2 linked regions of the Sus scrofa genome follow. The protein of the gene in region 2 purifies or fractionates together with the protein of the main gene of each other region. This does not show direct contact. Links are inferred from orthologs where the notes say so. Each region holds a gene or a part of one and is shown on either strand. Other genes may lie near its edges. The genes, in order: JARID2 and MTF2.

What was found.
Region 1: the proteins of MTF2 (region 2) and JARID2 purify together in Homo sapiens (affinity purification with mass spectrometry; 3 studies listed by BioGRID and IntAct, with this or other methods). This does not show direct contact. The link is inferred for Sus scrofa from reciprocal best matches to the Homo sapiens genes MTF2 and JARID2.

What each region holds. Positions count from the first base shown.
Region 1 is NC_010449.5:11,572,364-11,587,756, reverse strand, and holds part of JARID2 (protein Jumonji), read right to left. Parts: intron 14,937-15,393; coding exon 14,701-14,936; intron 8,276-14,700; coding exon 7,216-8,275; intron 3,924-7,215; coding exon 3,421-3,923; intron 1,789-3,420; coding exon 1,696-1,788; intron 1-1,695.
Region 2 is NC_010446.5:124,063,039-124,078,431, reverse strand, and holds part of MTF2 (metal-response element-binding transcription factor 2), read left to right. Parts: intron 1-4,013; coding exon 4,014-4,109; intron 4,110-4,343; coding exon 4,344-4,444; intron 4,445-4,832; coding exon 4,833-4,981; intron 4,982-7,110; coding exon 7,111-7,206; intron 7,207-9,023; coding exon 9,024-9,092; intron 9,093-9,919; coding exon 9,920-10,043; intron 10,044-15,393. UniProt on the Homo sapiens protein: Polycomb group (PcG) protein that specifically binds histone H3 trimethylated at 'Lys-36' (H3K36me3) and recruits the PRC2 complex, thus enhancing PRC2 H3K27me3 methylation activity.

The sequences.
Region 1 (15,393 bases), on a different chromosome or scaffold from region 2:
CCTCCGGGAGGAGGCTCCTCCAGGAGCGCCAGGCGTCGGCCCCCACCCTGCTGTGCGGCTCCTACGGAGAGGGACAAGCCTGGGGGTGGCCAGAGGCCCCTCGTTGAGAAGAAAAGTGACAGCATCATAGGCATGGGTCTCTGAAAAGGACATCCTTACAGATAAGGGACAGGGGAGCAGTCCGAGGGGACAGGGCCAGGCCAGCCCTACGGACCGTCTGCCGAGACTCACGCCACCTCTGCGGGGAGGAAGGGCACCATCGCTAGGTGGGGGCAGCGCAGCTGGTGACCCCGGGCCAAGGACAGGCCCAGCTCTCTGCAGGACCCAGAAGTTCGCCAGACGAAGACCAAAAGTTTGGATTTTAGCAAACCTTCCCTTTGTGTTTAAATACTATGCAACCGCTAAAGCAAAACCCAGACTTTTAAGGAAAATTAATTCTCAAGCAGGAAACTAAAGCAGGCCAAACTTTCTTCACAGCAAGCAAAGTAACAACCCTGCACCTCTGGAGACTCCGACAAAGACGTGTGCTAGAAAGGGTAGGACAAAGGTCCCGTTTTCAGCTCGGAGGTTCAGCCCCCGAGAGTCACGTTCCTTTCCTCTGACGTTTCCCCCACAAATGGCGCGAGCGCTCCAGAAGCAACTGTCGTGGCCACACGTGTTCCAGAATCAGAGCCCTGTGGATATCAGGGTTGATGGAACGTGGCTTTGGCAGGGTCAAAACTGGCGGACAGGGTGGGGGTCAGGCCACTGCATGCTGTCCACAGATACAGCCCAGGGTACAGAGCTCGGGCAGGCCATGCCCACCAGCAGAGACCTGAAGCCTGAGAAGAACGACAAGGGGGCTAAAATCAAACTCGCGCCCCGCCAACCTGGGAACCAGACCTGGCACTAGAGTGGGCCCTCCTGGGCTACCAATGGCCACCGTCGGAGGTGGGGGTCCACATGACACAGACAGAGGGCAGGGGGACCGGGACCAGGCAACCTGGACTGAGTCCAGAAAACCCAGTCCCAGGAAACCCGGTCAGATCAGGGCCTGGGCCCTGTGGAGGTCAGCTCGGGGTTTACCTGGAGGATGAGGCATAGCTCCTCGGAGATGACAGGGCCTGAAAGCAGCTGCACACCACAAAAGCCAAGGCTGCGGCCCCCTCTCCCCTCTCCCTGCGGGAGTGGTGGGAGGAGCCGTCTCTCCCTGGACAGGCCCCCCTCCGACGGCATCGGGGAGCCTCTGGCCATGTGGCTGGGAGCTGCCGGGGGATGTAAACAAACAGACCGGGGCCCTGGCCCTCTGTCGAGCCTCACACAGCCCCTAATTGGGCTCTGCAACCTCACGCTAACTCCAAGAGGAGAGCTGGCAGGAGCACAAAAATGGCAACCTGCCAATCCCATTACATAAAAAATAGGAGAGGAAAAAGCACAACTGTGGTTCCAAGGGATTGCAAACATTCTCTTGCGTAACAGGCTCCCGGGCCCGGGGTGAGAAGGGGCGAGAGAGGGCGGCGGCTGGGCAGGCCCGCGCCGGGAGCGCCCCGCTGGCTGCGGCCTCTGGTCGGGCGAGGCGGGGACAAGCCGGAGGTGTGGGGGGGGCGGGGGGGCCCTCCCTTGATTATTCCTTTTCGGAACCTCGACAGCTCGGATGGGCAGGGGTGAAAACCAGGACAGCGGGGCGGGCCGCCCACGCCCCCCGGCCGCACTCACCTCGATCTCCGCGGGGGCCGGCTCCTTGCTGAAGCACATGTTCATGATATTTCTAGCTGTTCGGTAAAAAGTCGTTAAAGAAACAGATCTTCCCTGAAAAGAAAGCAGAAATGAGGTTGCGCTTAAGAAAGAGAGCGGAGGCGGGACCCCACAGCCAGCCAGCCGCCAGGTGTCCCTGTCCTATCGCCGTGACCGCGGGCCAGAGCGCGGAGCGGACCCCAGCGGAGCCGGGGGAAGGCTGCCTCTGAGAAGGACCGCCAGTGCCGTCCAAGGAGCCGGGGCCCAGCAGAGATACTCGGGGTGACTCCCACAGCCGCCCTGACGGCCGGCACGCCGAATGAGCAGCCTGGCCCCATGGGCCTGCAGGGGACAGGAGCCAGCCCTGTCCTCCCGCAGGCCCTCAGCTTACTGTCGCCCCTGATCAGGAGCCTTATGTCACCCCGGGGCACACACTGTTTTCGAGGCAGTCCCGGGAGGTGCCCAGCCTCCCCACCTTCGTGCCCCACGATGGTGGAAGTAGCTGCTGAGGGCCTACTGTGTACCAGGGACAGCTCTGCAGAGAGGGCAGCACACCCCCTAAGAGCCGGGTGGGGGTACTAGGGACCAGGAACCAGAAGCCGGGGGCAGGGCTGCAAGGCAGGTGGCCTTCATCCGAGGGGGTCAGGGAAGGCGTCCCTAATGAGGAGACCCTGGAGAAGCCCCAGGCTGGGGGCAGATCCTGTGCCATCTTCTTGCCTTTGGAGGGCCAGTCAGAACCAGCAGCTCACAGCCTCTGCCCTTGGCGTAGGCGCTCCAGCTCTGTTACGGGTTCTGACTAAAAGAGAAACTTGCATACAGCTCCAAACTGCTCCTGATGTGCTTGCTACCCCTTACAAAAAACCCTGTGATGACCGTGAGGGACCAGATTTTCTGTCAATGAAAACAGAGTTTTTGTTCCCAGGCTCAGAACCTGGAGAGCCTCAAACTCCTCACGGCCACCAGCCGTCACCAAAACAGCCCAATTCAATTAGATTTTCATGATGGGAACCAAAATTATTTACAAAGCACGTCTTAAAAAACAAAAACAAAAAAAAAACACCTTACTGGTAAAACTGCCCTTAAAGCAAATGTAACAAACTAACAAAAAGAGAGTAAGTAACTCATTTCAGGAGCTGGCCTTTTGAAATCACAGGATTTAACAAGCAGCTTCATTTCAGGATAAACTCTCGAGCAAACATTCAGGCAACACCCCAAAAGTGCTCCTGCCGCCCTCCTGCTGCCTCCAGAAGCCACCTGGGGGGCCAGTCTCTGCCCCCTCCCAGCCCGGAGAGGGGCAGTTCTGCTGACACAGAGCCAGGCTGCCAAGCGGGAGTCACCAGGACCCTGTTTCCTTGGGGTGGCTGGATGGCGGCGCCACCTGGCTCAAGTGGGGACCCTTCCCACACAGCTGGTTCCCACGGAGATCCGCTGTGATGGACGGGAAGGAGCCGCACGGGTCTGGGCCGGAGCGCGCGTCCGAAAAGCCCCAGCCCAGGCAGAGAGGGTGGTGCCCAGGCGTGCGGCCGCACATACACCCTCTCCCTCTCCCCCGCTGCCCCCAGCCAGATGCCCAGAGGCCTCGTCCTGATGCCCAGGCCCCTGAGACTGCAGGCCCTTCTCCATGTGAGGCCCACTCCCAGAGCCGGCCGCCTGCAGCCCTGCCCGGCCAGGCACCTGCGGCCTCGCGGCCCCGGCCCGCCGGCCTACCTTGTATATGCACTTGTGGAAGTCGCTGAGGATGCCTTTGTCCTCCTCCTCCTCCTTCGCCACCTCCTTTTCCTGAGCAAAGAGTCTCCGCCGGCCCGTCTTGAGCTGCGCGGGGCCCACCTCCTTCAGCTTGCTGCGGAAGCCGTTCCTGTGGGCCACGCCGTTGATGAGCCCGTTCTTGGGCTCGAAGCGGGGCAGCGGGTGGAAGCGGTTGTAGTCCTGCTCCGTGTGGCCCTCCAGGGGCCCCTTGCGCCGCTCCAGGCTCTCCTTCTCCATGAGCACCTCCTTCTCCAGGCGCCGGTGCTCCTCGGGGGACAGGGAGTCGTAGGAGAGCAGGTACTGGCAGTAGGCCTCCTGGAGCTTGGCCAGCCGGTCCTGGGCGGTTTTGGGGATGCGCAGCATGTCTGCTAGTTTGTTCCACTTTTTGAGGTCAGTCACTTGCTGCATGCCGCCCATCTCGTTAATCAGCCGGAAAAAGCAGGCCAGGTCGAGCTCACAGCCTCCTGGGACGGCGAGGGGAGAAAACACAGGGACAGTGGGTGAAGAGGCCCGTGAATGAGAGCGCCTTCTGTTACCTGGCAGGCCACAGGTGCACGGTGCCCACCACGAGCCAGGGACGCCGCTGGGCCCTGGGGTCAGCATGAACAGTCTCGTAGTCCATGGAGAGGCGGAGCTTAGAGCATCCTGGGCGCGGGGAGGATAATGTCAGGACAGGCTTAGGGGCTGGCAAGTAATGGGGCCACCGTCCTAGGAGGGATAGTCAGGGCAGGTGACCCCAAGGAGGGGACACTTCCAGAGGCCTGAATGGAAGGCGAGCTGGCCACACAGACCTGCTGGCAGGAGGAGTCCAGCGTCCCCTAGAGTAGGGGTGGCAGCTACAAAAGGTCCCCTCCAGCCCAGGAAGCAGGTGGTGGTAAAGGAACAGGGCAGCCCTGTGGGGCAGCAGGCTCTGGGGAGCGGCGGCATCTGGAACAGACATGATGTCAGAAATCGCACACACACAGCCTGTGCTATGAAGGCCGACCCCCTGCCAGGAGCCCCCGCCTCTGCCCCACTTCCAGGCAGCAGGCAGTACTTCCCCGAGGGCAGGCGGCAGTCGGCCTGTCCCTGAGCGCTTCCCCGCTGCTGCTCACGCAGAGGAACGCTTATCCCAGAAGGTGTGTGGGCTGGTTTTCAGTGTCCCTTGATCAAACCGTACAAAGCACATCAAAACCCAAATATGTCTGAGTGCCTGCAGTGACTTGTCTTGATGGGACCTGGAAAATTAACCTCCCTTTAGCCAATGGGTGTGGGGGGGAATCTTTCAGAATAAATCTCTTCTGGCTATTAAGAGGTAAATACACCACAAAATGCTAGATAAGCAAAAGAAATATTAAGAATATTCAGATCTTTGGAGAGTGAGGATAAACTTGTATAAAATAAATGAGGAGTTCCCGCTGGGGTGCGATGGGTTAAGGACCTGGTGCTGCTGAGCTTTGGCACAGGCCGGGCTCCCAGCATTGCCAGGGTATGATGGAGCAGCAACCCGAGTTCATCTACTGTGCTGGGTGGGATGCTGGCACTGGCTGGCTGTGGTCAGAGGAGCAGTGGGGGCCACATCAAAGAAGAAACTCACCCTGACCTTGGCGGGGAGGGACCAACAGCTTGAGACTCTGGGGCTCTGGGCCCTGGCTGCCCGCACATTGCCTGGACTTGCCACGGTGGAGAAGGAGCTGAGTCAGCCCACTGTGCCCAGGAGCTCAGACCAGAAGGGAGGCAACCCATACTTTGGTTTTTATTCTCCAAGTCGATGGCTGTAATCCAAGAGCGCTGGAAACTGTACCTCCAAACCCGTTAGTGCACGCCTCACCTGCTGCCACGAAGCCCCTCTCAGGGCCATGGGGATGCTTCGAGACCAAGCGCTGCCCTCCCAGAGAAGGCGCACCCGTTCCATGGATGCTGGAAATTCCTGCACAGCTCCTGGGTCCCCTGCACTGAGGGGAGGCCGAGCTCAGAGCCTCTTCCGGAGGCTGACGCTGCCTCACACCTCAGGCATGAACACACACACCACAGTGTCACGTCCTCGTGGCTTCTGTGCCACGGGAGTCAGGGTTATGGTAACCTACTCTCAACAGAAGATGGCCGGCTGCCCTCATGATGTCCCCGAATGGTCCGCCTGTCCCCAGAAGACCCACCATCCCCTTAGCAGGGCGGGGAGCCAGCATGTCTGGATCACCCAGCTGAGACTGCAGAGAACAAAGCACCAAGCTCCCAAGATGCTGTCACATCCTCAGCCTGTTCCCACAGCCCCAGGTCACCATGCATCACATCGCCAACAGGGGACCAAAAACCAAGAATTCTTGCAACGTGAGTGAGTCTCCGTGCCACTGAGAGGAATAACGAAACCTTCGGCTCACGAAAAACCCCTGCCCCCTGCCAAAACTCGACACCTAAATAAATGACTAAGAATGTCTCCTCTGCTCCCTGCCTCTGAAAAAATCAGGCTTTTTCAGGAGTTCCCACTGGGAACCCAAGTATCCACGAGGGTTCGATTCCTGGCCGAACTCAGTGGGTTGAAGGATCTGGCGTGGTCATGAACTGCAGTATAGGTCACAGACTCGGCTCAGATCCCGCATTGCTGTCCCTGTAGTGTAGCCAGCAGCTGAAGCTCTGATTCGATCCCTAGCCTGGGAACTTCCATATGCCGCGGTGCAACCACTTAGAGTAAAAATAAAAAATAGAAAAATAGAAATAAAAAATTAACCATGAAAAATCCAGCTCTTCGAACCAGAGGCAAGACACACCCTGTTCCTGTCACAGGTCTAGAGCCAGAAAGAAGCGCGTGACCTCAGCCAACTGACCCAACTGCAGGGCCGCTCCTCCCTGACAGAGTGAGTCGATCCTGGAGGTATGAGAACCAGGACTGTAAGAGGCAGATGGGAGCTCCAGGGGGGCTGTGAGAGGGCTCTGCCAGGGGGCGGGGGTCTCCACGACACCCGGGTATACATTTACAAAAGGAGTCTCTGGGGTGAGCTTTGTCTGGGTGCCAGCCAGAGCTGGGCCCGCTCTCAGGAGTTTACACGTGGTTTCCCAGAGCTGATAACGAGGGCCCAGTTATCACCCAAAAAACTGAAATGAGTTATCATTAGGAAAAATGATAGGACAGGAAAAACGATTGGGCAGTTATCATTAGGAAAAATGAGAAATTAGCTGAAAAACGAGAAACTGGCTCCTACCCCATCTGTACAGAGTCCTAACCTCAATGCCACAGAGGTGACGGTATTTTAGACCCAAGATCTTTAAAAGCATAAGTAGATGAGGTCATGGGGTGGGTCCCAGCCCAACAGGACTAGGTAACAAGGAGTGTGTGCACAGAGCAAAGACCACGCGAAAACACACAGAAGACAACTGCCGAGAGCCAAGGAAAGTCGCCTCAGAGAGGCCTGGCCACACACTGCTCGCAGATGTCCAGCCTTCAGACTGAGGAACCTCCTCCTGCGGGTCAAGCCTCCCCTCGTGCAGTACTTGGGTTAAGGCAGCCCCAGCAGAGCAATGCACCGTTCTGCCCCTCCCTCTGGATCCTGCTGGGCCTGGTGACCCTGCAGCTCCCTGCTGCAGGTGATGCCCAAAGTGAGGGTGGAGGGAGGGGCGGGGCCTGGGACCAACCCTCCTCCTGCCCAGAGCCCCCTGGACCAAAAGAAAGGCGGCCTTGGACTCCTCCTGGGCCAAGAAGGAGCCCAGCCAGGATGGAGCTGGTGCAGGCGTGGGGGCGGCCACCAGGGGTGCTGGGGCAGGACATGGGGCCTGGCGCCTCACCTATGAGCGGGAGCTCGTCCATGGTGATGCCCTGAGATCTGAGGTGCTTCTTGATGCAGGCCAGCCGCTGCACGTTGGGGCCCCAGCGCCGGCCCAGCTTGTGGATGTGCTGGATCTGCGTGACGAAGCGCATCTCGTCGTTGAGCTTGCACTCGGGCCGCCAGTCCGGGGGCGGGATCACCCTGCACATGCCGTACTTCTCCACCTGAGGGCGCACCGACTCGATGTAGACGAGCGGGTCGTGGAACTCCTTGGCCGACGGCCGCAGTACGGGGATCTCGTCCATGGCCGCCCACCCGGCCCGGCCGGCCCCCTTCTCGGCCTTGGCCGCCGCCTCGTGCGGCCGGGGCAGGGGCTCCGATTGCGAGGTAGAACGATGTTCACAGGGGGCGTCCGGCTTGCTGTGTGCTTGTCTGCCCGGCGGGCCCTTGCCGGCCGCTGCCCGCTTCGGCCGGTTCCTCTCCAGGCTCCGCTCGGGCACCTCCTTCTTCACGTGGCCGCCAGGCGGCGCCTTCTCGGCAGGGGCTGGGGCCGGGGCTGGGGCCGGGGCCTGGGCTGAGGCCGGCTTCCTGCCGGGGCCCTCGGCAGCACCCGCCGCCCCCTTCATCTTCTTCGGGGGTGACTGCGGCTTGTCGGCCGGGGGCGCCTCTTCCAGCCTGCGCTTGGAGTTCCGCAGCCCCTCCCGCAGCTGCCGCCCCCCCACCTCCTTAGTGCATGACTTTGGGTTCAACCTGCCACTGACCTTGAGGCCATTGACGGCGTGCCCGGTGGACTTGGACGCCCCCCCGAGGGATAGCACCTGTTTGCGGGTTTTTGCATTGCTACTTTCAGTTTTCCCTGAGATTGTGTGGTTGACAGCTGAACTGGGCTTGTGGTGATTGGGTTTGGTTTCCTTGACCAGTTCTCTCTTGGCTTTGGTGTATGTGACAGTCCCCTTCGTCACCGTTGCAGTGTACTTCACAGTTTTGGACGGTGAAGGTCTGACTTCGCGCATCTTTTTGGCACTGGTTGCACTTGTACCCAGAGATGACATTCGAGTGACTCCGTTGACCTTAGAAACCTGGAAGGTGACAGGAGAAGCAGAGGGGGAGAGAGCAGAATTAGTTTCAGAATCTTTGCTGACTATGCGCCATCGTCCTGCACAAAATCACACAGTCAATCGGGTGCCTCCCAGGGGGTCTCCTGGATGTGTGGTTGTTTGAAACCAGATGTTTCCCAGTGAGGACCCTCCCTGTGCCTGCCATCAGCTGTCCCCGGTTAATGACATTCACAATAGCAAGGCCCTGCCCACTGAGGGGACAGATGGGGACACACACACACCCCTGTTCCAAGACACGGTTGCTCTTTTTCGTGTGCTCCACATAGCAGCAAAATTTAAAAATCTACATGCTAAATAAAGAACAAAACAAAACGCCATGGAAAGGAAGAAACGAGAGCACTCACGTGGCTCAGACGCTGGTCTCAGGCCACGCCCAGAAGTGCAGCTGCCAACATCTGTGAGTCGGGCCCCTGGGCGCGTGCTGGACACACCTCACATCTCTGATGAAGCCAACAGGCCCCCTTTCTGCACGGGCAGCTCCCGTTTTCCCGCCCTCAACAAACACCCACATTTAAATCTATGGGAATTCGGTAAACGATCAGCCTGTCTTCACAGCTTGGGACACCAGAGTAATTTAGTGACACCGAAGTCTCCTTTATTTATAAAGAAAAGCCAGAGTGACAAAGGTGGACACTAGAAAAGCATTAATCAGTTTCCAAATAATAATGCTGGGCCTACAGTGACAGCCATGGCTGGGCTAGGCTGGGCAGATGCCACATCACAACTCAGACTCTCGGTGACCTTTGAAATGTCATTTACCATCCTGGGCACCGATTTCTCACCTGTAACATGAGCTCAAAAGATGGGATGCCAGGGTTCCCTAGGCACCATCACTTCCCAGACCGAAAATTACAGAGCAGAAACAATACCACCTTTTCTCACCAATGACCTCCAAGGAGAAGGTGCCCAGGAGGAGGGAAGTTGGCCGGCTGGCTGCACTCACGCAGAGGGACAGTTCGCTCCTGTCCACATCCAACGCGCCCAGGGCTGTGCCACTGCCCTGCCACCTGGACTAGGTTCCAGAGTTCAGGGCCTGAGTCTCAGTGACCTCCGCACCAAGACCAGTCCCAGCCCAGGTCACTGCGCCCCGCCCCTAGAGTCTCCCATCCAGCAGGTCTGGGATAGAGCCTGAGAATCCAGGTCCCAGAACGAGGTCCCAGGTGACACTGAGCCTCCCCCAAAGACCCACTCTGGAACTATGGCAGCAAACTATCAGTAGACAGTTCTAAAAATAGAAAAAAAGAAAGAAGCCACCCAGGCCTGTATGTCTTCATTCACCAAGTAGACACGGTCCCATCAAAGCCATGAATTCCTGGTGTGAGATAGGTTCCATGGCCCAACCCCAAGATGTCTGGGGACCAGGTTTCTGGGGAGGCAGCCTCAACTTCTGGACTCAGTGAGGTCCCAGGCCCCCTGGAGCAAGAGGCAAAGGGAAAGCCCAGAAACTGGAAAGCCTGGATGCACCTCCGCTGGCCACCCATGAGAGCAGCAGTTGGAAAGAGGAGACTTGAATACACAACGGGTAAGTTAAAAAAAAAACAAAAAAAACTAGTAGCCTGGCAACAATAAATTAAAAACAAATTTATAAAACCAGGAGAAGAGGCAAAGACAAACTTTCCATGATAAGTACCACTAACTTGGAATGGGACGTATGGGGAGGAATGCAAATGCCTCTAACTGTTCCTTCAAATCCTTCCACCAACTAAAAACAAAACAATCTGTTTAAAAAAACTAAAGCAAACAGTAAACTCCTGCTGAGGCTCACAGTGTCCCATCAGCCCGGTGTTCAGGGATCCACATTTTCAGAGACGAATGAACCCGCCCAGGGCCCTGGGTCTGAGGTTAACCATTGAGACTAAACCTGACCGGGATCTGGCCACACTCACTTCAGCCACCTGGACACCACCTCCTGCCAGCAGAGTCCACCGTCAGCCAGGATGTCTTGCCGAGGTTTAGGTCTGGTGCTTCTCAAACCTGGGACCCCTGTGAACCCCTGGGGAGCTTGCAAATGCCAATTCCAGACTATTTCACCACCCTTAATGGCAGAAAGATCACCTTCTTGTTTACGTATTTCTGTAAACAGAGGTCCCTGTTCCATTCCGTGGCCTGCACTTGTGCAACGTTTAATTGGTACCACTGCAGCCTCCGGAGTGGAGGAAGGCACGGTTTCATCTTCCCACCGAGCATCTCCCCGAACCACTGCCTCGCAGAGGAGGACCAAACACTAGGTTTCACCTCAACACACGCCCAGGTCACTCAGCCACGGGGCCTGGTCTGCCGCGCGTCCTAAGGAAATGCTGACACTGAGCACGGGAGGAGGACGACTGCAGTTCACTGGAGGATGGACACCAACAAAGGAGGCAGGAGGCCCACGCAGAGCCCTCCCCTGCTCCTCCAACTGCGCCCTCTCGGCTCCGGTATGGATTTCTCAATGACAATTACATCCACAGAAGCGGGCACCTCCTCCTGTCCTTTGCCTCCCCTCTGTCTCAACATCCATGGGACAGCCACAGACACCCCGTCACCCAATAAGGGAGCGCTTGTGTTGTCTGTGCTCTGGCTCTCCTTGTTCTTATTCTGTCTCAGCCCAAGCCATCTAGGATGTGCTGGTCAGACGAGTGCACAATTCCAATCTACTCTGAATGGAAGACCTTCTTCTTAAGAACTATTTACAATGGGAATTTGCCTCTCAGTTCAGTTTACTCAGGGATTTTTTAATAGACTCAAAAGTTTTGAAAAATCATTAACAAAGAGAAATCATTATTCTTTACTTTCTTTCTCACTGTCCATTCCTGAACTTGACCCTGGGCCTTATGAATATTTTTACTCATAATATATTTTACTTTAAGATATTTAAAAAACCTTCAGGTATATAAATATTGTAACTTTGTGCCCCACTCCCCACAACTGTCACCCGGCTCTGCAAGAAGTGGGGTGTCTTCGGCTTGTTCTTGGCCCACCACCACCCCGTCTCCTGTAGCTCAGGTTACACCAGGCACATAGGCCACCAGGCTTTACAGCAAACCCTCCTAGGCATGGAAGCTGCCCACAGTTCAACCAGAAATTCAACTATCAAGCTCCCATTTCCCACTAGAGGGAGCCATTGAGTCAGATGGCTCTGCCCATCCTTTCAAAGCAGAAGCTATGGAGCCCTAGAGAGACACTGTTGGCTGGGGACAGTGCCAAAGAGCCTGAATCAATAGAAGCCAATGGACAGGCAGTGAGTTGTGGATGGGGAGGGCACACCTGCTGGTTGACAGCCCCCAGGCTAGAGAGAGGTCCAAGATGGAAGTTGGTGAGCAGAGGCACAAAGCTGACGCTCAGCCCTGCTCTCCAAAAGGAACACCTAGGTCCTGGTCGGAGCCCCTGAAACTCTCTACACGTGCTCTCTCTGAAGGCCACTAAACTGAGTCACAAATACCACACCACCGACGCACAAGGCAAACTCCCCACGTGACCCGATGAAGAGCAGATGGAGCAAGACCTTGAACTTCTAGGCAGGAGAGTCTCACATGTTTCTCTCTGGATACTCCTGTTTCATTTTCTAGAAGGTTACAGAATACGCCTCATTCTTTGGTCTGAAGAGCTAAACCTCCTCTCTTCCTCTTACTCGTCCAGGACTTTCCTCAACCCCCATGCATGTGCCTGTGAGAGCCTTCCCCTCGGTACCACAGCCCACACGAGCCGTCATTTTCTTCTTCCCGTCACGGCTCAGCCTCAGTTAAAGAGGACAGCAGGTAGGCGAACCTGTCGGGCGTGGCCTAACGGTCCGCATCAGGGCTCAGCCGGCCTCTCACTTCCAGGCACTGCCCTCCTCGTGTCTGCAAACCTTCCCCGGGTGTAAGAACAGGTGCTCCACTGCTCTCAGCTGTCTCCTGCTGCGTGCAAGGCTCCTACCGCACACCCACGCCGCGTCAGGGCAGCCACTCCCGACAGCGCCACACACATGTCACCTGGCAGAGAGAGCCCTTGGCAGAATAAAGGCCGGGGGGCCGCTGAGGCCCCGCTCAAGGGGTGCACGTGCTCTGAGTCCCAGAGGCCTGGGCGTTCACAAGATCTCGCACCCTGCACCGTGGGAAGTCACGGGAGGGACTGTCCTAGCATGAAGCGCAAGTTCTCGGTGCACGGACCAAGCAGGACAAAGCCACGTCTCAGCAGCAGCGCCCCCAGCCCCACTCCATACAATCACTCATCTTTTCTTTTAGGCCAACAGAAAAAAATCCATCGTATCCATGTATTCTTTGGGCCTCCATCTTTTCTGCAGCTGAAAAGATGAAAGGTCAGTTCTGATCACTTGCATCAGACCTTCACAAAGGAACTTACAATTGGCTTTTACTGACCTCCCCCCCCCCACCAAAGTACTTAACTAATGGGATTTGATGGCATCAAAATTATCCTTTCATGTCTCACCATATCCCTGGGAGAGGAGGTGGCATCACTGGCTCCAAAAGCACAGTGGGGCCCAGGAATGTTAAGAGCTGGGCATCCTGAGCCAGCCTGTCCAGGTGGATCAGACAGGTGGAGGAGGGGATGGTTACACCCCACCTGCGAGACCTGAACCCAGACAGCCAGCCAGGCTCCCGTGGTTCCTCAGATGACAGGAGTCTGCGTGTGACACGGGCCACATGAGCGAGCTGTGGAGCTGTGGGACAGAACGATCCAAGGGCAAGGGGACCTTCTGCCCCCCTCTGCTCACACACCCAACTGGGCAAGCTCCTCTGGCTCAGACACAAAGGCACGTCCTGAATGGTGTGGGGGCTGCGCCGGGGGCTGAGGGGGAGCTTGGACCAACTAAGACGGGCGGGGTTCTCAATCTACCCTCACACGTCGAACTGAGAAAGAGGGTGCGTGTGTGGTAACGGTTCTATGTGAATAAAGTCACTGATTCGTCCCTTCCCTCTCTAGAAACCTTCTGAATTGTTCTCTTTCATAAGCAAACCTCTGGAAAAAAAGTTCTGCACAAGTGCCTCTCCAACCAACTCCGCTGGAAACGGGCAGGAGACACAAGACACCAAAGCACTGGCGCCCTCTGCTTTCTGCCTCCTGGTCTTGAAAATCGGGCACCCCAGGCAGGGGAGGCCAACTCACAATCATGTCAGGGGTTCGCACGAGGAAAACTGTGACATCTGTGTTCTCGGCGTGGCGGGCAATGTCTACAATACGCAAAAACTCCCCATCTCATCTCAAGGTCACACTGCAAAGCACGAGGTGGTGACCTGAGGACCAGGGGACATAAACATGGGATGTGGGCCTCCTCCACGCCAGCTGAGAGCCGAGCAGTATTTGAAAGCTGAAGGTTAGGACTAATGACGAGTGTACACACCCAGGCCTGTGTAAGTGCACGAATACAGTCCACACAGAGAATGATCAGGAACAAGAAAGACCGAGGGGAAAGAAGAACTTAGCAGAAACGGGAATCCCAACCTTCATCCCAATGGCCATCTTTCAGTCACTCTGCCCCTCTGCCCGCCAGAGAGTCTCCCGTCCACCTGCACCTCGCCCTGAATCAATCCACCTTCCGAGGTTACAGTCTCCCGTCTACTCCAGGGAAAATAACCCTCTGTTGCAAAAGTCCCAGTGAGCAGAGCTCACCCAAGATCCTCGTGGCTCACCGACCTTCACAACGGCTGAGAACAGGAAAAGGGCTGATGGAATGCCACCTGGCCCGTGGAAGCCTCATGGCACACCCACTACCTCCCTCCCAGGTCCTGATAAATCTCATCCAAGGTCAGGAAAACTTCCCCCACAGGATCCATGCTGTGTAACCAGACCATGAACTGCGGGCAGGGAGAGCAGAGTGCGTGGGCCTCTGCTGACCCTACAGGCGCAGGATGCAAACGCACTCGAGGCTCAGAGTCCCTCCACACCCGCCCTGCATCCCTTCACTGACAGGCCGATCGTGAGGAGCCAACATGTCACTCAAAGCAGGTAATGAGTCCAGGCCGCCCACTGGCAGCACCAGGCTGTCTGCAGAACTGGGCCAAGGTGACCCGTGGCTCCCAGCCTAAGCCCAGGACTCGTCACCTTGCACGGGGCCGGGCACTGTGGCCGAGGAGGGGTAATGAGGAGCGCCCCCGCCCCACCCTTCTAGGGCATCCTTGGCTCGTGAGTGCACAGGTGGTGGCGCAGGGAGCCGGCTGCATCCTCCGGGGGTTGGGGGGAGGCTGCTACCAGCCCAGCACGGTCCGTCTTCACATGAGGAAAAGGACGTGCACCTGTGCCCAGTCATGTTTCTCCTGCCCCCTCTCACCTCTGAGCGGCCTTTCCTCCTTTCTTGAGGCTACTGCTCACATTTAACCGGGTGAAATGGGGAGGTGGCATCTGGCAGGAAGGCTGGCACCCCATAGGCCAGACCTCATCCCCCGCACAGCAGGGCCGGGCTTTACCTGCTTCCGTAAGTCCTGAGCCGACCGATGCAGAGGCGGGTGGTGGTGGTTAGCGGCGAGCCCCTTGGCCGAGGAGCCCGTGGAGGGGGCCGCTGGGGGGTGGCTCGCCGAAGCCTGCTCCCTCCGGCCGTCGGCCCGGGGATCGCTGTGCTTCTCCTTCGCGGGAGTGGCCTCTTTGCTTTTGTGTTTCTGAACAGGTTCCTTCTCCCGTGATGACCTGCTGGAACCATTGAAAACTGGAAAAGGAAAGAGGAAGAAGAAAGTCACTGCGTCAAGTACACTGCCTGCTGCCGTGTACCCTAAATCCCCGACGATAGAAACAAAGAAAGGGCAAACATTCCGGACAAACATCCCATCTCACACGTCGAGACCCCAACCTCAAGTCAAAGTAACTACCACAAAGAATAGGAATAGTCCTAAACCCAGACAGGGAGACCCCCCTCCAAAGCTATAAATGCATCCTAGGAATTATTTACTTTCCTTGAAATAATTGAAAAATCCATATAAAAAATCCCAACCCGCCCCTCAAATGAAAAAGCGATACATACACCCCAAACACCAAGAAACAAAAAACAAGAACAAATAAACGAAAACCCACAGCAGCCCTCAGAATATCAACATCACACCTTAAACAAAAAGAGAATTAAAACAAAGAAAACAAGTAAGTCACATGCCCAGAACAGGAGGACCGCC
Region 2 (15,393 bases):
TGGTTTGGTTTAGGTATGTTTCTTGTAATGCTTTTTATTTTTGCAAACTGTAATTGCTGAATGCCCTTTGAATCTGCTAAATAAAAGTGTTTTTTTCAGGTATCTTTCATGGAGAGTGCTTTATATATTTAAAAATTATGAATATTAATAAGTATTCACAATCTGAGTATTTTAACAGCATGCTAAAAACCCCACTTTTGGTATTCCCCCTTTTTTTTTTTTTTTTTTTTTTTGTCTTTTTGCCATTTCTTGGGCCGATCCCACGGCATATGGAGGTTCCCAGGCTAGGGGTTGAATCGGAGCTGTAGCTGCCAGCCTACGCCAGAGCCACAGCGACGCGGGATCCGAGCCGCGTCTGCAACCTACACCACAGCTCACGGCAACGCCGGATCGTTAACCCACTGAGCAAGGGCAGGGATCGAACCCGCCACCTCATTGTTCCTAGTCGGATTCGTTAACCACTGCGCCACGACGGGAACTCCTGGTATTCCTTTTAATGGGTTAATGGGCCTGCACTAAGGTGTTTTTATATTTCCTCTTGTAGAAAGGAGAGATAAATTCTTTAAAGTATCTATCGGTTGGGTTTTGTTTTTTTTTGTTTGTTTGTTTTTTTGTTTTTTGTTTTTTTTGCCTCTTCTAGAGCCATACCCACAGCATATGGAGGTTCCCAGGCTAGGGGTTGAATCGATGCTGTAGCCGCTGGCCTACGCCAGAGCCACAGCAACGCAGGATGTGAGCCACGTCTGCAACCTACACCACAGCTCATAGCAACTCGGGATCCTTAACCCACTGAGCAAGGCCAGGGAGCGAACCCGAAACCTCATGATTCCAGTGGGATTCATTAGCCACTGAGCCACGATGGGAACTCCCAGTTGGGTTTTTAATTCGAATCCCAGTGTGGCTTTTTGGTAGGTTATAGCTGTGTTCTATTTCTTGATTTCACTCTTACTTTTTCTTAGAGAATGAAAAAGTTTTGGTATAAAGGAATTGGCATGTTCTAATTGCCGTCTTTATACATGTCACTCAGGGATTAGGTGGAGAACTCAATAGCTGTTACTCTAGTAATATGTCTTAAAAGTGTTTATAGTTCTTGAGGCTGATCAATTTAAAGGACTAAATTTATGTTTTGAATCTCAAATTGAAGGATCTGTGAGAAAAGGAATAGGAGGTCTCCAGCAGTAGTGATATTGAACAGATCTTATTCCCCTGTACACAGAACTATCCCTTTTCCTTAATTTGTAAATATGTGTCTCTGGTGGAGCTGAGCCATGTTATACTGCTTCTCTTCCTCTTCTGTTAGCTATGTGTTCCTTTCAGCATTTCAACTGTTTGGTGGTTTCTGTAGTTAAATAGAGGTTTGTCTGTTTTTCTGTCTTCTTCCCTCCCTCCCTTCCAGAAAGGAAAAAGAAAGCCAGTAGTACATAGAGATAGAAAGTGAGGGGGTCTTGTCCAACTTGTGTCCTATCCAGTATATCAGTTCAGTGGTCTGTATTGTTCTTGCCTCACTGGCTCCTTTTACTGTCCTTAGAATTAGATAGAATAGCCCCTTGGCCATTTCACTCTTTGTAACTCGCAGGAAATAGCACACTTGTGACTTGGAGTTTGTGTAGAACAGACAAGTGCATTGCATTGTGGCAGGTTTCAGTGCATGGTGTAGTTTTAGTAGTTTTCTTCCTGTAAGGAACCTGCTAATAGTTACATACCAGAATAACTTAATTAATTTCACTCATCTAATAAGATTCTTTTTAAAAGTTTACATGAATGGCAACAATTTATAGGCATATTAGTAGACAAAGAAGTGTGCATTGCAGCAGGGAGATATCATGTTAAAGCTGTTAAATAAATTTATAAAAAGATTTTAATCTTAATACCTAATACTGTTATGGTTTCTGTGAAAATGATACACTGCTGGTGGCAGTGTATTTAAATATTTATTTCAGGTATTACTTTGACAGTTGCACTAAATGCATAAAAATTTATATGCTTTCATTATACAGCAGACTCATTTGTAGCAGTTTATTCCAATAAATCATAAATAAAATGTATAAAAATTTACTGTAGTTTATTTTAACAGCAAAAAATTTGGCATATCTAAGATAGAAATGGCTTTATAGTCATTTGGATTTAGAGTAAGGGAGACTATAGAAAGCTGCTAAGCTACAAAGAAAGTTTTTTTAAACTTGATGGTCAAAAACTCATATTGGATTTATAAGTAAAGGCAATTCTCTGCTTCCTCAGGATTGTTTCCTGAAGGAATACATGTTGTTTGTTGACTCTACACCCTCTTTTCTGAGGAACTGCCTTCCCCCACACCATTCCATATGTTTAAGTGGGAGTCACTTCAGGCACTTACCCCAGCTTGGGGCTATTGGCCCTTTTCTAGGATGTTGGAGATTTGGACTGAGAGGGTCTAGGCTCAGTCTGGTTACTCTCCTGATTGGAGCCATAAACTGAGAAACTAGGGGATGCTATATCCAGCCAAGTGAACAAAGCCTGGGAGAGAAGAGAAGAGAGAACAAGAAACAAAGCAAAAAAGGAAAAATGCAAAAAACAAGAAAAAAAAATATGGTAGCCTGCATATCTAAGAATAGAGGTGTAGTAAATCAAATTTGGTTCTTTCCACCGGATAGACTATTATACAGGTATTAGAAGTTAATAGTTTTTGAAAACTATAGTGTGAAATGCTTTTGATGGAAAAAAAATTTTTTTTTTCTTGTTAGCTTTTTAGGACTACATCTGAGGCATATGAAAGTTCCAGGCTAGGGGCTGAATCTGAGCTGTAGCCACTAGCCTACACCACAGCCACAGTGAACATGGGATCTGAGCCGCGTCTGTGACGAACACCGCAGCTCATGGCAGCACTGGATCCTTCACCCACTGAATGAGGACAGGGATGGAACCTGCATCCTCATGGATCCTAGTCGGGTTTGTTACTCCCTTGATGGAAGAAATATTGCATAGTATTAATGGAAGGAAACATCTCACAATGGAGAGACTATGGATACTGGTGCATCTGAATTTGAATCTTAACCTTGATATTCTGTGACTGAGGGTCCTTGGGTTAGTTACTTTTATTTTTCTGAGCCTTAATTCTTCTCTATAAACGGGATATTTATCTAATAAGTTGGAGAGTTAAAATAATATGTATCAAGAGCGTAACAATGCTTGGTTCACAGCACAGAATTTAAATTTTTACTGTTGATATGTGAATAAAGCATGTGTGTTAGTATTTTAACTATAAAATTGAAATTGATAAGAGAATATTGGAAATAATTGTGTTAGAGTGATAAAATTATATTCTAAATTTTGCAGAATAAAATTGTTTTTAGAATAGAAATATTTAAAGAAGAAACAACCTAACCTATTCAGGTAAAAAATGTAATTAGTAACTGTGGAACCTCTAACTTTTGTTACAGTGGGATTTGGTTTAGGGTCTGTTACTGGACATCATATATCCAGGTTTCTGAAGCAAGAGTTCAAATAATTGATGTTCAACCTTTTTTACAATTAGTAAATAAGAAATGTTTTGCATCGAGAGAGAAAGGAGTCATTGATAGATCTTCCTTGCCTCTTTTCTTTAGTCTCATGATGTTAGGCGGTGTAGGGTGAGTGAATACATGTACATGGGTATGTGTGTGTGATCTGAAGAGTAGTTCTGTTCACCAGTATCCCCTTTGCTCACCCCCCAGGAGAGTGGGAATATTGGAAGTGAGTGGTAGGGGATCCTGCCTGAGAGCAGTTTAAATTACGTCCTCTCCCAAAAAACAGATTCAATCACGAATGTAGATAGTAGGCATCTTAAGTTAAAGGTGGGAAGAACACATATCGGGAGCAGAGAGATAGTATTTTGTATACAGTACTTTGCCTTGAGAAGATACCCTTATGATCTAGTGAACAGACATTGCTAGCATTGGCTACTTACAGACTCAAAAAAGTAGTTTTGTTATATGGAACAATTCTGTCTTTTTAATGGATGTTGACTGTCTTTTTAATGTATATTTAAAATATTTTAGGAGCCACTGGAAGTGGGGAAATGGTCTGTACAATATGTCAAGAAGAATATTCAGAAGCTCCCAATGAAATGGTTATATGTGATAAGTGTGGCCAAGGTAAATGTTAATTGCTTTTAATCTTGTGGAAAAGTTTTGTTATATACCTAACACCTCTGTTAGAGATGAATGATTAAAAATTCTTTACATTGTAACTTAAAGCTGTCATGATAAGTTTGTTCGTCATTGTAAATATGTTAATGTAGGAAAAGAATATTAAAATGGCTTCTTAAAATTATGTTGCAGTATTTATTAATAAAATAGAATTTGCTTTATGCTTTTTTTGATATTAAGGATATCATCAGTTGTGTCACACACCTCATATTGATTCCAGTGTGATTGATTCAGATGAAAAATGGCTCTGTCGACAGTGTGTTTTTGCAACAACAACAAAGGTATCTTTTAAGTGTTTTGGGCTAATGCCCTAAATGGAATTTGTAAGGCACTATCAACGTAATGATTGTGTACGTTGAAAGTTTATTTGAGTGAAATGAGCAATCAGTGCTGGGTAGAAAGAGGTGCTGCTTATTGTTTGACTAATGAAGCTTAAGTGACTTGCAGCTATTCTTGCACTTATTTTATGATAGTGATCTTGGTATTGGGGCAGTAGTTTGAAAGAAAAGACAACAAAATAGAGGTTATTATTGGTCAAACAGTTTGTGATATGGTAAGAAATTTAGAGTGGAAAATTCTTGAGAAGTTTCAGAAGTGTTTGAAGATTGTAGAATTGTATTTAAAATTTTATCCTTCACTCTTTTAAATAACTTTTTCCCTCTAATATAGAGGGGTGGTGCACTTAAGAAAGGACCAAATGCCAAAGCATTGCAAGTCATGAAGCAGACATTACCCTATAGTGTGGCAGATCTTGAATGGGATGCAGGTCATAAAACCAATGTCCAGCAATGTTACTGCTATTGTGGAGGCCCTGGAGAGTAAGTAAATACACTTATTTGATGCCCTTAGATTAATTTTTAATTGCTTACATTGTCTGGTTTATTTTTGCTACTGATTGTGGTGGGTGAGTGATAGTGAATTGTAAATGCATGAAAGTATCAATAAAGAGAATGGGAGGGATTAGAAGCTGTAGTTTTATTCATCTTTATCATTGAATGTTTGCTAAATAAGAGTTCTAAGAATGTTTAGAAATTTACTTTTTTTAAAAATTTGAAAAAAAATTTTTTTTGACTGCACCCATGGCGTTTGGAATTTCCTGGGTTAGGGATTGAATTTGAGTGGCAACGCTGGATCCTTTAACCCACTGTGCCAGACTGGGGATCGAATGCACGCCTCCACAGCGACCCAACCCACTGCAGTCTGATTCTTAACCTCCTGTGCTGCAACAGGAACTCCTTAGAAACTGATCGTTAACTTCTTTTTTTTTTTTTAAAATGATTTTTATTTTTTCCATCATAGCTGGTTTACAGTGTGCTGTCAATTTTCTACTGAATAGCAAGGTGACCCAGTCACACATACATATATACATTCTTTTTCTCACATTATCATGATCCATCATAAGTGACTAGACATAGTTCCTGTTGCTATACAGCAGGATCTCATTGTTTATCCTATAAACTTACTTTTGAAATAGAGTGTCATGATTAGAAAATGCAGTGTTTCTACTAGACTGACAGTGTATAATGAAGCTATTAGAGTTCTGGATATTATGTTTTTGTTGCAAAGAAAGTTTGTATTACCTCTCTTTGGTCATCCTATCATGTTCTTTTGGCTCAGTTTGGGTTTGTAGGTGGTTAAATAAAATCTTTAGTTCTTTTTTTCATACAAGTTGATATTAAGTCAAATTGTGCATCATGTATTTGTACTACATTTTTTAAAATGTTAGTGAATAACTTTACATTTAACTCTATTTAAATTGTAGTTATTGGTTCTTGAATCTTCCTTATCAGACTCCGCGCTTCTCTTAAGACAGGGGGCTGTCTAGGAGAATGCTGGGACATATAAGGTATTCAGTGATGAAAACATGAATAAATGAATATATAAATGAATGAATTTTTAGTTCTTCATTCTACCTTGTCTCTGATCTTATGGAATTTTTATTTGTGGTTTAACCTTTCTATAGCATTTCTCAGTTTTTGGTCACCTGTAGATTAAAGAAGCATTCTGTCTGGTTTCTTTAAGTCACTTATAAAAGATACAGTGAACCTAGATATTGATCTTTTTCCTTTTTTCACTTATACTTAGCATTTTAATTTATAGGCATTATTTTATGAAACAGATTGCTCATTGTTCTTTACCATAACTACATGAACTATTTGATATTGCTAGCACTTTAACTTTAGCACCTAACAGAGTACCTGGAACATAGTATTTGTTGTCTTGATGAATCAAAGACCTTAGTAGTAGTTGTTTTGGCTTTGCCTGTATATGGCTTAAAATTAATGTGGGGCTCACTTATTGAGCAAAAGAATTATTTGAATAAAAGGTGTTTTTGGGGTGGCAAATAAGGTATTAATATATTAAAACCACGTACTAACTTAAAAGATAGGATATCCTTAGCTGAAGATTCAGTTTTAGGCATCTTGAACTATCTGAAAGAGAAAGTCTGTCACAAAGCCTTTATACCTGGTAGAATCTTAGATTGGATTTATAGTTATGTTAACCAAATTTATTAAATTGCTATACTCCTTTTCATTATAATGAGCAAGAATAATAGAAACACAGTGAAGGCATAAAGTTGCCTATGATCCTTTGTTTTATGGGACAAATAGCTCTATACATCAGAGACCACTGAGGCAATCAATGTGAAAAAAAATCCCATGCTTGACAAAGATCTTTTACTAGTGTAGGAACCAGGCACTTGTTGACTAGAAATAATAGATGTACTTTTCAAGAGCTTATAAATTCTCATGAATAAAAGAGAGGAGGGATGAAATGGTCAATATTAATAACCTTTTGAGGGAGAAAAAATATGACAATAAATATACCAGAAATGTGTTACTGTAATTATAACTATATTCTGCATGTCACTTTTGTCAATTTTTTTTTTTTTTAAATACTTTACCTCTTAAAGGTAGTAATTTTAATCTTAAATTTTTCCTTCTAGCTGGTATTTAAAGATGCTGCAATGCTGCAAATGTAAGCAGTGGTTTCATGAAGCTTGTGTGCAATGTCTTCAAAAGCCAATGCTATTTGGAGACAGGTGAGAAGAGCATTTGAGCTTTATCGATTTTTTTTTTTTTTTTTTTTTAGCTTTTAAAAAATTGTGGTAGGAGTTCCCATCATGGTGCAGTGGTTAACGAATCCGACTAGGAACAATGAGGTTGTGGGTTCGGTCCCTGGCCTTGCTCAGTGGGTTAAGGATCCGGCATTGCTGTGAGCTGTGGTATAGGTCGCAGACGCGGCTCGGATCCCGCGTTGCTGTGGCTCTGGCATAGGCTGGCAGCTACAGCTCCGATTCGACCCCTAGCCTGGGAACCTCCATATGCCGTGGAAGCGGCCCAAGAAATGGCAAAAAGACAAAAAAAAAAAAAATATTGTGGTATGTTTGCATTTTCACATTTCTCAAAGTTTTAATAGTGATTTGTAAAGGTTCATCTTAGAAGTAAAATATGGAATAATACACGTATGGAGTTCCTGTGTGGCTCAGTGGATTAAGGATCTGGTGGTATTACTGCAAGTGGCTTGAGTTGCTGCTGTGGCGTGGGTTCACTTCCTGGCCTGGGAACTTTCACCTGCTATGAGTGCAGACAAAAAAAATAAATAAGTACTGAATAATATACTTAAATTATACATAATTTTTAAAAAACATAATTTTTGTGTTTTTGGGTATTGTTACAGAAAACTTAAGTATTTGATCAGTGATTATACTTGCTCCTACTGCCCCGCAGTACTCTGAAGTATTCTCATTGGTACTTTCTCTTAAAAAATCTTAAAGGAATCCTGTGACAGAAAATTGGAAAAGGCCACAAAATGTTGATGCACACAATTTATACCTTAGGTCTAAAGTATTTCTAGAGGTTGATCTGATGTTTTTTGGATTAGAAGAATGTGAAATAGAGTTCTAGGAAGAAAACCTGCAGAGAGAGCACTAAATATGACATCAAAAACCTTGGGTTTTATTTTTATTATTTTGTCTTTTTATGCCTGCATATGAAAGTTCCTGTGCTAGAGGTCAAATCAACAATATCAAATCTGGGTTGCATCCAGTTTGCAGCAATACTGGATCCTTGACCCACTGTGTGAAGCCAGGGATCGAACTCGCATCCTCATGGACACTGTGTTGGGTTCTTAACCCATTGAGCCACAATGAGAACTCCAGACCCTGGGTTTTAAATCTTAGCTTATGTCACTTATTATCTTTCTGACCTTAGGAAGGTCAGTTTGTCTCCTCTGGGCTTATTTTACCAGATTATTCTGAGCAATGAACGTGGAAACAGCCATTGCAGTTCTTAGTCCACACATGCCACTTGCAAACTCTTCCTGTGCAGAAATCTGTGTGAACTCTGAAAGTCTTTAATGGTTAAAAAATAGTGCTTCTTCCCCTCCCAGATACAAACTATTTAATTATTTGTCATTACTGGGAAAGAAATTCTTTAAATGATAGTGTCATGATTGAGATTATATTTTGACTTTGTATGTCAGCCCTTATGTCAATTGTAGGGTACGCATTTGCTGAATATTTTAATTAAATGATTATATGTACTCTTTTTTTTTTTTTTTTTTTTTTTTTTTTGCTTTTTAGGTGGCCCTGCAGCATATGGAGGTTCCCAGGCTAGAGGTCAAATCGGAGCTGTAGCCACTGGCCTACACCACAGCCACAGCAATCCCATATCCGAGCTACATCTGTGACCTACACCACAGCTCACAGCAACGCCAGATCTTAACCCGCTGAGCAAGGCCAGGGATCAAATCTGCGTCCTCATAGATCCTAGGCAGATTTGTTTCCGCTGAGCCAGGACGGGAACTCCAGTTCACATGTAGTCTTGATTATTCATTGTGTACTTTTCTTTTCTTTAGGTTTTATACATTTATTTGCTCTGTCTGCAGTTCGGGACCAGAATACCTCAAACGTCTACCATTACAGTGGTAAGTACCGACATTTCTATTAGGAACAAAAAGAGCCATATTTTATGAAACTTTCTGTATACATTTACATGGCTTAAATAAAGATTTGTCCTTTTTTATGCCTGGCTTTCTTTCTTTCCCTGTATTTATCCTCAAGCCTAATGTCTTCCCCAAGGATATCTAGTTTTATTGCTAAAGTAATAAGGTCAGTCAGTTTCTAATGGCATAAAATGTCACTTTCAAATTTTTTAGATCTTGAAAATTCTTACTCAAATTTCTAGTCCTTTTGGGTCTTCAGAATAGCATACAGTAGAAGAGAGAAAATGTCTTATAATGCAAAAAAATTTTCTGCCTCAGTTAAGTAATGCTGGGTATGGGAAGTAAAATGAATAAAATTTTGGAGATTTACTGAAAATGTGTATGGTACATACTTAGACATTTTTGTTAAATGTTTTACATATTTTAGGAAAAGATAAGATTTAACTTCTGAATCAGATAAAAAAGTCTGTTAAAGTATGATCCACTTTGTAGCTTATATATAGTAGTGAAAACACGAAATTTTAGGTTATAAGTTATTTTTTCTTAAAGTCAGATATTCTTTAAGTGCATTTTAAGAAATCAGATATCTTTTAATTTTTAGTTAGTATTCAGGTTAAGTTAAATGTTAATGTTTTTCATATGTAATGATTTATTGTGCATATGACTTATGATATTAACGCTCTGTTTGCCTGAATACTTCACTTTGGATTTTTTTAATTGCTGGGTTTGTGAAAATACTGTGTAATTTTTAAACAGTAACAAAAAACATTGCTTTTGTATATTTTGATTTTTTTTTTTTTGGATTCCAGGGTAGATATAGCACACCTATGCCTTTACAACCTAAGTGTTATTCACAAGAAGAAATACTTTGATTCTGAACTTGAGCTTATGACATACATTAATGAAAACTGGGATAGATTGCACCCTGGAGAGGTAGGTAGTTTTAGAGCTAACTTCATTAGCTACTTGATGTCTTTTTTGGTTTTTTTGTGTTTCTTAAAAGCTACTAAGACACTTATGTAAGCCATACATCTAAAGTAGCGTTTTACTTTTAGTTAGGGAGAAATAATTTTGGTAAGGCTGTCAGGATCAGCCCTCATTTCCTGTTGACTGTTGACTTGAGGGGGGAAAAAATGTAGAAGGAAGTAATGTACTGGATTTTTCCATTTTCTGAAGTGAAAAATCACTATAGTTAAAGATAGAAGGGAGGGAAGTTCCTGTTGTGGTGCAGCAGAAATGAATCTGACTGGTAACCTTAAGGTTGCAGGTTTGACCCCTGCCTCGCTCAGTGGGTTAAGGATCCAGCGTTGCGGTGGTGTAGGGTGCAGATGTGGCTTGGATCCTGCATTGCTGTGCTGGTGGCTATAGCTCCGATTTGATCCCATATACCATGGGTACGGCCCTAAAAAGCAAAAAAAAAGGAAAAAAAAAATAGAAGGGAGGGTATCTTACTTATGATTTCTCTTTCTTTTTGTCTGAGTTTTCTATAAATTTAGAGATGTAACCAGCAGTCTTCTTTCCTCTCTTGTTGGTATTCCCTTATATATATCTTTGACTTTCAGAAATAGTGAGACCCAGAAGCAGAGTTAGAATAACAAGTTAAAGGGGTTACCTTGTGGCACAGTTGGTTAAGGATCTGGCTTTGTCACTTTATCCTGGTTAAGGATAAGGCTTAGGTTGCTGCTCTGGTGCAGGCGTGATCCCTGGCCTGGGAACTTCCACATTTTTGGGAGTATGGGTGTGGCCAAAAAAAGAAGAAGAATAAGTAGTTGGAGAGTTGAAGCTATCTGAGTTGAGTCGGAGATTACCACTCTCATTCTGGCATCTCGTTTTGCTTTTCATTTTGGGAAGTGTAACCACTTATGCTGGTTTACAGAGTCATTTTTTTTTTTTAAAGAGTATAAAAGTTAATGCATGTTCATTGAAGGTTTTGAATCTACAGAGTAGCACAAAAAAGAAACTAACTAGAATAACATTAATATTTACCTTATTTTTAGCACTTATTTAGAGTTATTAAAATACAAATATTGACTACTCTTAGGTTAACTAAAATATTTGTTTTATAATATGTGGAATTAGATGTGTGACTCTTAGTTATGTATTACTTTTCGAGGTAAATATTATGTAAACTGATGTGAAATTTAGGAAGGATTATTGAATTTGTAGCTCTTAGACATGAGGCAGTTTATGAGGTTTACATCAAATAAAATACCAAGGATTTTTTTTGTCGTCTTGGGGTTTTATGGGGCATCAGGGAGCACATAATGCCCATTTATTTAAAAGTTAGTAGTAGATTATTTGCATAAAATTAAAACAAATACCTTTGGAATATTTAGATTTTAAAATCAGTTGAGCTAAGATGTTTTGACTTTGAGTTAGAAATTGGAATATAATTCTCTTGTTAAGTTTTCTGCTAAAAGCTTCTTTTTTTTAGATGACATTTGAGAGCAAGTGAATGACTTGTACACTTGATAAATTTTAATAAACTGATTAATAATGGAAAAAAGAAGTATGCACCTGACTATTGTGTTCTTTATAGCCTTTTTAATTTTATTTATTTTATTTTTATTTTTTGTCTTATTAGGGCCACACCCACGGCATATGGCGGTTCCCAGGCTAGGGGTCGAATCGGAGCTGTAGCTGCCAGCCTATGCCGGGAGCCACAGCAACACCAGATCTGAGCCGTGTCTGCAGTCTACTATGCCACAGCTCACAGCAATGCTGGATCCTCAACCCACTGAGTGAGGCCAGGGATAGAACCCGCAACCTCATGGTTCCTATTTGAATTCGTTTCTGCTATGCCACGACAGGAACTCCATATAGTCATCTTAGTATTTAATGTTCTCATACATTTATTTGAAATTCTTTCTTTCTAGTTACGGTTCTTTCAGCACTTCATATGCAGATCATCTCTGTTCTTGTTAGTATACTTTATATTTTACATGATTTAATTCTGCACTGATTACTTCACATTGTCAGGGAACATGCATATAAAAACTAAAGTTGTTTTATGCTTAAAATGCTATCTTAAATATTTAGAGTTTATTAAAGAGGCTGAAAATAAAAATAATAGTCATAATTAGTCTTTTAAAGAAGTGAGTTCAGTTTATGAATTTCATGTATCTCAGTTCTCCTGAGCTTCTGATATATATCAGAAAAAGTTTTATTTCAGCAATAGATACATTTTTATCCTCTGTAACCAACGAGAGAATGTCTTAGAAGTAAGAGATTTCAGTTTCTTATTCTGTGTCAAAATAGAAAAGTGTACCTCTTTTTATTTAAAAATTAAGAAAAACGTGATTAATTTAACTTTACAACAGAAAAGTTTTCTGAAGATTATTTCCATTTTGAGGGTGGGCATCAAATTTATTATCAGAACAAGTGACTTCCCAATAACTTTTCATCGCTTTCTTTGCATTAAAAAAAAAATCAGAATTCTTAGCTTAGTTATCTCATCTTCAGAAGAGTTATTTACAGATGGAAGTCCAGGTTTTAATTCTCTATGTGAATATTTTACATCTTAATATTGTAGTTGTAATTGGCTTTTGAGTGAGATTTTAAAGATAAAGAGACTTAAAGTTTGTGTTAGTAATATTTCTTTGATTTTTATTTACTTTACTTTTAAATGTTTATAGTAATAGAAACAAAAATAATACAAAAAATGTATTATTCCAAATTATTAAGGTAGTAAATCTTGGTTAATTGAAATTGAGTTGCAAGTTGAATTTTGTCACTAACTCAAAATCAGGTTAACAAAATTTTCTTTTTGTTTATACTTGTATTCAAAATCTTCTTAAAAAGTAACATTAATTACAGTTGTCCCATGATACCCATGGGAGATTGATTCTAGACCCCCTTTGGATACCAAAATCTGAGAATACTCTAGTCCCTCACATAAAATGATGTGGTATAGTTGGCCCTTCATATCTGATTGATTTTTCACCATTGGAACCCATGGATACTGAAGGCCAACTGTATTTTCAAAACATGTGTGTTACTGTATGTACATTATAGGCATACCTCAGAGATAACAGGTTTTAGTTCCAGGCCACTACAAAAAGGCAAATCACAGTAAAGCGAATCAGGATTGTTTGATTTCCTGGTGCATATAAAAGTTACAATTGCACTACACCGTAGTCTGTTAAGTGTGCAATAGCATCATGTCAAAAAAAAAAAAAAAACCAATATACATACCTTAATTTGAATATAATGCTATTGCAAAAATGGTGCTGATAGACTCGCTTGAGGCAGGGTTGCCATGACCCTTTAGTTTGTAAAAAACACAGTATCTGTGACATGCAATCAAGTGAGGTTCGATGAAGGGAGGTATGCCTGTATTGATTGAGTTGGAATACTCAAGTTCATTTGAACATTGATTCTTGTAATTCATACTATAGATTATATGACAGAGACATTTTAGAGTGTGTTTGAGAGAGTCCAGTTGACTCTTGAAGAACATGGGGTTGGGGCACAAACCCTCTGCAGCTGAAAATGGTTATGTGACTAGAGCTGACCTGCCCTTCTGCAGTTCTTCACCCCAGATTCAACCAGCCACAGTGTACTACTGTAGTGTAGGTGTTTAGTGAAAAAAAGAGCTGTGCATGAGTGGACTCACGTAATTCAAACCCTTGTTGTTCAGGGGTCAACTATATATCCTTTCATTCCAAAAAGATGAAACATTAATGTACCATGTGTCTTGTTTTTAATTGATTATTTTCAGGATTGCTATGAAGAGAAGCTGAAACTTGTAGAACATATTAGAACATAGTGCTAACTTTATACCGTTTCTTTTTTTCTTTTTTTTTTGTCTTTTTTTTTGCTATTTCTTTGGGTTGCTCCCGCGGCATATGGAGGTTCCCAGGCTAGGGGTCGAATCGGAGCTGTAGCCGCCGGCCTACGCCAGAGCCACAGCGCAGGATCCGAGCCGCATCTGCAACCTATACCACAGCTCACAGCAGTGCTGGATCCTTAACCCACTGAGCAAGGGCAGGGATTGAACCCGAGACCTCATGGTTCCTAGTTGGATTCGTTAACCACTGCACCACGACGGGAACTCCTATACTGTTTCTTAAACATCTTAAACATCCTGTTTCTTTTTAAACATGTTTGAGATTTGGTGCCTTAAAGATTATCATATAGACTGAAGTATAGCTATTTGAGAAACTACCATGTTTTAAATCATTTTTGAGATAGTAAAAACATCTAACACTTGACACCCCAAATAAAAGTTAAGGTTTTTATATAGAAGAAGTATTTAGAATGAGTTTGTACTAGATTGCTCTTGGACATTACGATGAGATATTAGTAGGTTTTGGAATCTATCTATTATCATTTTCTTTGATTCCTAATACGATTTGAAATTTTAGTTCTGTGTGGACCACCCACTTTTCTGTTAACTGTGGTCTTAAATTTTAAGCACCCAAAGGTGGATAGAAGAGCAGTGTGTTGTGTGCCACCTCGCTTGAAGGATGCAGGGAGAAAAGCATAGATAAAACCCAAATGAAATACTATGCCAGAAACAGTGTTTTGGCCAGAGATAAATATAGTATAGTACAGGTGATATAATACTTTTAAGTGCAAATTACAAGGAATATGGTTAAAAGCATATGCTTGTGGCCCTTGAGTGTTATGTATTAGCATACGTATATATATATATATATATACATATATATATATATATGGTGGCAGACAAATTACTTAAGCTCTTTGGCATACTTAAGCCTAGGTGGCATGGAATTCAGTATTGGTAATTGAAGGATGTCTTTTATGGAAGGGAAGAGTTTTAACCACATAATAGTATGTATATCTTGTACAGAAATATGCAACCCTGAAAGTGAAAACATAGTGTGAGATTAGTGTCTATAGAGGGAGGAACAAAAATTATTATTTTCAAAGAATACATGTTTTATAAACATATTCAGATGGAAGAACTAGAATACAGTGCTCTTCTAATACAGATTATTTGGTTTACATTATGACATTTGCACTCTTAGTTTTCAAAATACAGAAAGGGAGCCCTGGACTGCATTATCCGAGTTGAAATAAACAGTCCTGTGCTGAATAATCCTGGAGTGCTGAAGGTACTTACAGATAAAATTTCTGGGAAATCATAGAGAATAAGTACCAAAAGAAATATAAGAGAGTTCATTGTGATTTTCAAAAGGAAAAAGGTGTGGATATGAGAAATTAGAAACTTTTGTGGTTGAATGTCAGCAAAATTGTAGAGCAGAGTTTTCATATAAAGATTTTAAAAGCAATAAAAAACACCACTAATTAATTAGAA